Macaca mulatta: one gene and its partner. The protein of the gene in region 2 purifies or fractionates together with the protein of the main gene of each other region. This does not show direct contact. Links are inferred from orthologs where the notes say so. Each region holds a gene or a part of one and is shown on either strand. Other genes may lie near its edges. The genes, in order: ACAD9 and EYA2.

Region 1 (3,811 bases), on a different chromosome or scaffold from region 2:
AGCACTTACTAAATAAATTTTTGTGGTTTATAACACACCTTGACGTACAATACAGTAATAACGTTCAGGCTTCAAAGCACCTTTCAGAATATGTAGCATGGGTGGTACTGTTCCTGCTTACACATTAGGAGCTGAGGTTCATTGAGGCTGTGTGATCTGCTGGATGGAGCAGGGCTGCAGCAGGACTCGGGACTCCAATGATAAGTCCATCACCTGGACCATCCTCCATCCTGCTTCACTGTGCGTGGGAACCTGGGAACAACCATCCTTCCTGGGGTGCCCACAACTCATCCTCACAGGACCTCAGATGAGCCCATTGCAAGCACCCATTTCCATGTTTAAACCTAAGCCCAAGTTGTTTTCACTGCCGCTTTTTTACGTGATGTATTGAAGCAAAGGTCGGCTAAATCCAGCCTCCTGCCTGTTTTTTATAAATAAGTTTTGTTTGTTTGTTTGTTTTTGAGACAGGGTCTTGCTGTGTCACCCAGGCTGGAGTGCAGTGGCACGATCTCATCTCACTGCAACCTCCGCCTTCAAGTGATTCTCTTCCCTCAGCCTCCCGAGTAGCTGGGATTACAGGCATGTGCCACCATGCCCAGCTAATTTTTGTATTTTTAGTAGAGATGAGGTTTCACCATGTTGGCCAGGTTGGCCTCGAACTCCTGACTTCAAGTGATCTACCCACCTAAGCCTCCCAAAGTGCTGGGATTACAGGCATGAACCGCCATGCCCAGCCCAGTTTTATTGGAACATGCCCATTGTTTTATAAATTGTCTTCAGCTGTGTTCATGTTTTTTTTTTTTTTTTTTTTTTGAGATGTAGTCTCGCTCTGTTGCCAGGCTGGAGTGCAGTGATATGATCTCGGCTCACTGCAGCCTCCGCCTCCTGGCTTCAAGCGATTCTCCTGCCTCAGCCTCCTGAGTAGCTGGGACTACAGGCATGCACCACCACACCCAGCTAATTTTCGTATTTTTAGTTGAGATGGGGTTTTACCATGTTGGCCAGGATGGTCTCAATCTCTTGACTTCGTGAACCACCTGCCTCAGCCTCCCAAAGTGCTGGGATTACAGGCGTGAACCACCATGCCCGGCCTCATGTTCTATTAATAGCAGCAGAGTTGAGGAGGTGAGACAGACATCCTGTAGCTTGTAAAGCTGAATATGTTATCTGACCCTTCATTTTAAAAGTTCGCTGACCTCTTAAAAGTACTAGAACCTCCATTTTCAGGCTCTCAAAAGCATTCATATTCCCAGTATTCTCCCTTGACCACATCTTTCTGCATCTGCAGTGGGAGCGATGCAGCCTCAGTCCAGAGCAGAGCCACGCTAAGTGAAGACAAGAAGCACTACATCCTCAATGGCTCCAAGGTAGGGCTCCTTCCCCATGGCCACGTCAGGATCTCAGTCACGACCTTCACTGCCACTGAGTGAGCACTCTCCACACACCAGGGATTGTACCTGCTGCTGTAGCACTGACTGCCTTCTTGAGCTGCTTTTATGTGTTTGTTTTTGATTTTTTTTAGTTTTTTAAATTTGAGACGGAGTCTCTGTCACCTAGGCTGGAGTGCAGTGGTGTGATCTCAGCTCACTGAAATCTCTGCCTCCCAGGTTCAAGTGATTCTCCTGCCTCAGCCTCCTTGGTAGCTGGGCTTACCCATTCTTGGCTAATTTTTGTATTTTTAGTAGAGATGGAGTTTCACCATGTTGTCCAGGCAGATCTTGAACTCCTGACTTCAAGTGATCCGCCCACCTCGGCCTCCCAAAGTGCTGGGTTTACAGGCATGAGCCACCGTGCCCGGCCTGTAAACCCGAAAAATCTTTAAATTTTTTGTTACACAAAATTTCAGACATGTTCTGTGTGCCTGGCTGGCCCCAACTCCGGCAGTCACCTGCTCATGGCCACTGTGCCTCTTCCAGCAGCATTGCTACCTCCAGATCGCATGGTAACAATCACAGCATGCCTCTCTAAAAGACAGGAGTTTTGTTTGTTTTTTTAAATAAAAACAAAGCTGTAATATCCTTATCACATTTTAAAAATTGATAATTTCTCTTTTCTTTTGAGATGGGGTCCTGCTCTGTCACCCAGGCTGGAGTGCAGTGGCACAATCTTGGCTTACTGCAGCCTCAACTTCCTGGGCTAAGGTGATTCTCCTACCTCAGCCTCCCAAGCAGCTGGGAGTACAGGCATGCAGCTAATTTTTTTTGTATTTTTTTTGGTAGAGATGGATTTTCACCATGTTGCCCAGGTTGGTCTCAAACTCTGGGGCTCCAGCTATCTGCCCACCTCGACCTCCCAAAGTGCTGGGATTACAGGCATGAGCGACTGTGCCCAGCTGATAATTTCTTACATCTATCAGCATTCAAATATCCCTGATTGCCTCATACCTTTTTTTGGTTTAACTATGTGCTTGAATTAAGATCCACATGAGTCCCATCTGTTGCGGTTTGTTAAGGAGTCTGTTTCTGCCTCTAACTCCCTTTGTTTCCTTTCCTCCTCCTCACCACCCTCCTGCCTTCTCTTTTTTCATTTCTTTTTAGAATTAACAAATAAATGTTGTGTGTATTTAGATGTGCAACATGATGTTTTGATATATGTATACCTTAAGAAATGATTAAACCCTTTCTTTCTTGAAGAAATGCAGTTGTCTGGCGGTGGAACCTGAGCTGTTTGACAACTTTGGATGTTCTTTCCCCCCTCCACCTCCACCCTGGCCATCCATGTCCCTTGGGAAAATCCTTGGTGTGGGCAAACTGGGCTGAGCCCTGTCCTGTGTTCACTCATGCTTGTTTGGCTTCTGCAGAGCCAAGGACCCTGCATGTCTGGCCTGAGGTCTGACTGATCAACAAAGACAGAGCTGAGATGGGTCACATAGGGGTTTGGTTTTCTCCAAAGTCCTTCTTTCTGTCCTCAGGTCTGGATTACCAATGGAGGACTGGCCAATATTTTTACTGTGTTTGCAAAGACTGAGGTAGTTGATTCTGATGGATCAGTGAAAGACAAAATCACAGCATTCATAGTAGAAAGAGACTTTGGTGGAGTCACTAATGGGAAACCTGAAGATAAATTAGGCATTCGGGGCTCCAACAGTAAGTAGCTCGTGTGTGCGTGTGTGTGTGTGTGTGTGCGCGTGTGTGTGTGTATGTGTGTAAGGGGGAGACTGGCCCTTGACTCTGTCCAAATAGCAAGATAAAATGAGATTTAAATACTTTCAGTTTTTGTTAAGCATTTTAAAAAGATCAAACTAAGAATGCCACATGGGCTTTGTCTTTGTACCCACAGCTGAGTGCTGCTCACTTGAAGACCTGCTGGTCATCCCCTGCTGTAGCTGCCCTAACAGACAGACCACCTTACCACCTTAGAGCTCAGCTTACAGTCCTCAGCCTTTAGTTGTCTCAGTCTGCAGTGCCTGGCAGCCTGCTTCAGGATGTGGGTTGGGTTCAGGTCCATCTGGGGGCTTGTTCTTAGAGCAGATCATAAGCACCTAAGGGGCCAAGCCAAGCCATATAAGCACTTTTTTTGTCGTGGGAGACATAGTCTCTCTCTGTCACCCAGACTGGAATGCAGTGCTGTCATCTCAGCTCACTGCAACCTCTGCCTCCTGGGTTCGAGTTATTCTCCTGCCTCAGCCTCCCAAGTAATTGGGACTACAGGCGTGCACCACCACACCCGGCTAATTTTTGTATTTTTTGTAGAGATGGGGTTTCACCATGTTGCCCAGACTTGTCTTGAACTCCTGAGCTCAGGCAATCTACCTGCCTCAGTCTCCTAAAGTGCTAGGATTACAGATGTGAGTTACTGTACCTGGCCCCTT
Region 2 (4,483 bases):
AAGTCTGAGCAAAGTGCAGTCACCAAGAAAATGTGAAATCGTTCCTGTTTGGTGAACTTATCCTGTTCTGCCATGAGGATCTAAGAAGAAACTTTTCAAATGTCAGCGCACTCCACCGACTGATGAATGGATAAAGAAAATGTGGTATGCATATTCAGTAGAATATTATTCAGCCATGAAAAGAATGAAATCCTGTCATTTGCAGCAACGTGGATGGAACTGGAAGTCATTATGTAAGTGAAATAAGCCAAGGACAGAAAGACAAATATGGCATGTTCTCAACCACATGTGGGAGCTAAAAAAGTAGATCTCATGACGATAGAGAGTAGATTGTGATTACTAAAGGCCAGGAAGGGTGGTGGGGAGGATGAAGAGAGGTTGATTAACGGGTACAAATATACAGTTAGAAGGAATAAGACCTAGTGTTCAATAGAACAGTAGGGTGACTATAATTAACAATAGCTTATCATCCATTCCGAATAGCTAGAATAAAGAGTAATTTGAATGATGCTAGCATAAAGAAAAGATACATATTTAAGGTGATGAAATCCCAATTATGCTGCTTTGATCTGTACACATTATATGAATGCATCAAACGATCACGTGCACCCTGAGAATCCGTCCATCTATTATATACCAATAAAAAAAAACTAAACAAAACTGTAAAAAACTTCTCAGCACACAGTGAGTTTTTTGTCTTATGAACCACATTGTTTCATTATTGAATTGGAGGAGACCACGGAGGAGGGAGGCCAGTCTCTGGTGTTTGAGGCTGCTGAAGGTTTTAACCTGGCCCTGATTACATTGCTCAGTTTACGGATACTAGAAATAAAAACAGCTCACACTTACAGAGCATTTACTCTGAGGTTTAAATCTCTCTGCATGCACTGGCTCATTTCATCCTATGAAGTAGGTAGAGATAAGGAGACAGGTTCAGAGACTGACCTGGCCAGTTAGTGGTAGGGCCAGGATTCTCAACCAGGTGATCTGGCTCCAGATCTGTGCTCTTAACCACAGCTTGCAAATAGCTCTGGATCACAATTTCAACTCAGGGCCCATCGAGCTCTAAAGTCTACTAAGCTACCCAGTCAGAGCACCAGACCTGTTATCTGCTCCAGGGGTTCAAATCCCAGCTATGTCCTTGTCAGCGGTGTAACCTTGGGCACGTTATTTCACTTATCTGAGCCTCAGTTCTGTAAGATGCAGTAAATACTACCCTCCCCGCCAGGTTATTCTGAGGAAAATGAGTCAGAGAAGGCATTGGGTATTCAACAAAGGGCAGCCGAGATTATTTGCATTCACACAGACAAAAGCTTGAAACACACTATTCGTTTCATTCCAGGTAGACACTGGAAACTGTCATGAGGATCACCTGGAAACCACTGGTTCCTATTGTGGTTTGAGGGGCAGAGTTGAGCTCTCCTGCAATTTGAGGGGAAGGCTTCCTTCACATTCTCCCCACTCTCCCCACCTCACAATTACCTGAAATTGGAGACCAGCTTATTCTCTATGCAAGGGGAAGGAAGAGAGAACTCAGACAGCCTTCACGGAATCTGGGGGAGGAGAAAGACGTAGCTTCCCTTTCACGAAGGGAGGGAAGGGAAAGGAAGCAAAAGCATGGAATTCATTTACAAAAAAAAAAAAAAAATTCTTTCTTTGTTGCATTGTTGCAAAACCCTGATAGCCCGGCTACTTCAGAAGAGAGCCTGAAGGAGCGGGAAGAAAGGCATTCAAGCGCCCCCACCCTCTGGCCTCCTTGGCCTGCTGCTGCCTGCGGCTTGTGCCATTTGTTACCATTGTCACCACCCCTGTCCCTGGGGACTGGGAAGAAGTGGGGGAGCCTGAGAGATGACAGCTGGGGGGTGGGGGCAGGGGCAGCTTCAAAGGCTGGGAGGGATCAAAAGCAGATGGAGGGTCCCCAGCGGGTGGGCTGCTCACCTTTCCCCACCCCTGTGAGTGCACCAGCTACCTTGGCTGAGGACGGTGGCCCTGCCTGTTAGATGCAGAGGACAGATGGCCAGTCAGCCAAGGGGACTTTGGAGAGAGCCACTCCCAGCATCCTTCACGGGCTGAGAAATCAAAGCCTGCTGACTTCAATCACAGGCTTCTGAACAGACAGCAGCTGTGGCCCAAACCTGGACGTCTCTGGCAGCCTCCACCAGCCTCATTCAATTTCCATTCAAAATACCTCTGTGAATCACAAACCAGCTTGGCTTCCCCATTTCAGGGGGTAGTTGCTCACACCAAAAGCTCAGGATCACTCTTACTTCTCCCTCTCCTCCAATCCATCTCCAGGCCTTATAAAGTTCACCTCCACGGCCATCACCCAGGTCCAAGCCACCACCCTCACTGCCCAGGAAGACCACCGCAGTCCCCCTGCCCACCTCCCTGGGGCCACCATGGCCTCCCTCCAGTTTGTTCTCCGTGCAGCGAAAGACAGCATAAATGTGAACCTGCCCCCTCACCTCATCCTTGCTTATAACCTCCGACGGCTTTCCATTGCTCTTAAGATGAAGCGAAGACTTCGGAACATAGCCTTGATCTGGCTTCTCCTCACCCAATGTCTGATCCCAGCACACTGGCCTTTCTTTTGCTCCACGCTCCCTCTTGCCACAGGGCCTTTGCACATGCTGTTCCCGTTGCCTGGAACTCCCGTCCCTTCTGCTCACCCTGCAGAGGCCTCAGTTCCGGCAGGACTTCCCCAGGCTCTCCCTGAGTGAGTGATTTCCCTCCTGCAGCTTCCACAGGCCCATGGCCCTCTCTCACACACACCAGTCACTGGAACAGTTTTTACAGATGTTTGTGAGTTATTTAATTTCCCTAGGTCTCCCCATGACTCTCAGTCCACGTGGCTTGGCTGGGACTGACCCTACTAACAAGCTCGGAGCCTGGCAATTAGCATCTCCCATTCCTCAGTCTATAGTGATTGGCTCCAGGATGGTGGTCACGTGAGCCACCTGGGGCCAATGGGAGGCCCAAGATGAACTGCTGGAGAAGAGACGCTCTCTCCTGCTGCACACAAGTCCTGGAAGATGTCTACCTGGAGCCGTGGGCAGCCCCTTGCCTGCGAGACTGCAGACTGCCTTTGTGTTTTAATACAGGTGTATCACGCCCTAGGTGTTCAGTGTGAAAAATTAGAGTAGGAATCAGCTGTGGGTTCAGCCAGTGAAATTCAGCAGCTGTTGTCACTTCAACAACCTTGGGGAAGAACTCCACAAGCCACAAGGGTGTGATCACAAATCCCTCCTCCTGTCCACACCTCCATCCTCCTCTACCCTGTCTCCCTTAACATGGGGAAGGTGTCATTGAATAGAAGTTGTGGGACAGGGTTGCAATGCGTTGGGAACCATCTCCCCAGATAAATAATGCAAATTCAGTTTCTTTTGCAAAGGCTAGAAGGCAGATAAATGGATCAGGAACACAGGTGACACTAAAGCCATTCACTGATTCATTCATTGAGTCAGGCTGCCCATGATTTAGAATCACTGATGCTGTTTACGTAGCACACCAAAGAGCAAAGCTGCTACTCCTTCACTAATTGATTTCATCTTTCTTCCCCTTCTCCTGTTCTTTAAGGGCCTTCTTAGACCCAGGGACTGTCTCAGGCATTGAGGATACAGTGTCCAACCAGACAGACAAGTTCCTGCTCTCCTGAAGTTGGCATTTCAGGTGGGATTTGCCATCCAGACTTAGTGGGAATTCCTCAATGGGTGATCCCAACTAGTCCACCTGTGCCTCCTTCTGCTGAGATAAGAATTGCATGGCCCTTTCTCTCTTAAAATAAAATTTTGGTTGCCCAAATAACATCTAAAAACATTTGTAAATACATTTTAAAATTTCAGATAAGATTAGAGTCACATTGGGGCACTACCTCCCACCAGATGTATCCACAATTAATAGGATAAATAGCTTATAAACACAAACACCCACACATTCATTAAAATATACAGTATTGTTTTTACAAATGTGTTTTGTGAATGTGTTGTTGACCGCTATTGATCATGTACATCTTGTTCCAAGATGTTTTTTCACTCTAATAATAAAATACCTTGGTGTTCATTCCATGCCATGACAGAGATCTAGCTTATTCTTTCTCATTGCTGCATGGTGTCTGCAGGTATGTCTGTGTCACAGTTCACCTGTCCAGTCCTCAGGGGTCCCACGTTGTTGTTAGGATAATGAATTCCACAATGACTGGAGCAGGTCTTCTTGGGTGCACATACCTGGAGTTCTCTAGAAGTGATACCCCAAGGAAAGACTGCGGGCCCCCAGTTTAAAACCGTAAAACCCATTTGCATATCGCTCCTCAGAGTGGTGAATCCAATTTATACGCCCAGCGGAATGTCCCATGTCTTCATCCCTTGTGCTATTTTTACTCCCTGATTGGAAAGCTTTATCCAAAAATTCTCTTAGGGGCCAGGCACGGTGGCTCACGCCTGTAATCCTAGCACTTTGGGAGGCCGAGGCGGGTAGATCACGAGGT

Evidence for each region.
Region 1: the proteins of EYA2 (region 2) and ACAD9 purify together in Homo sapiens (affinity purification with mass spectrometry; 3 studies listed by BioGRID and IntAct, with this or other methods). This does not show direct contact. The link is inferred for Macaca mulatta from reciprocal best matches to the Homo sapiens genes EYA2 and ACAD9.

What each region holds. Positions count from the first base shown.
Region 1 is NC_133407.1:155,070,814-155,074,624, reverse strand, and holds part of ACAD9 (complex I assembly factor ACAD9, mitochondrial), read left to right. Parts: intron 1-1,288; coding exon 1,289-1,367; intron 1,368-2,911; coding exon 2,912-3,086; intron 3,087-3,811. UniProt on the Homo sapiens protein: As part of the MCIA complex, primarily participates in the assembly of the mitochondrial complex I and therefore plays a role in oxidative phosphorylation.
Region 2 is NC_133415.1:99,778,774-99,783,256, reverse strand, and holds the start of EYA2 (protein phosphatase EYA2), read right to left. Parts: upstream 2,929-4,483; 5' UTR 2,471-2,928; coding exon 2,466-2,470; intron 1-2,465. UniProt on the Homo sapiens protein: Functions both as protein phosphatase and as transcriptional coactivator for SIX1, and probably also for SIX2, SIX4 and SIX5.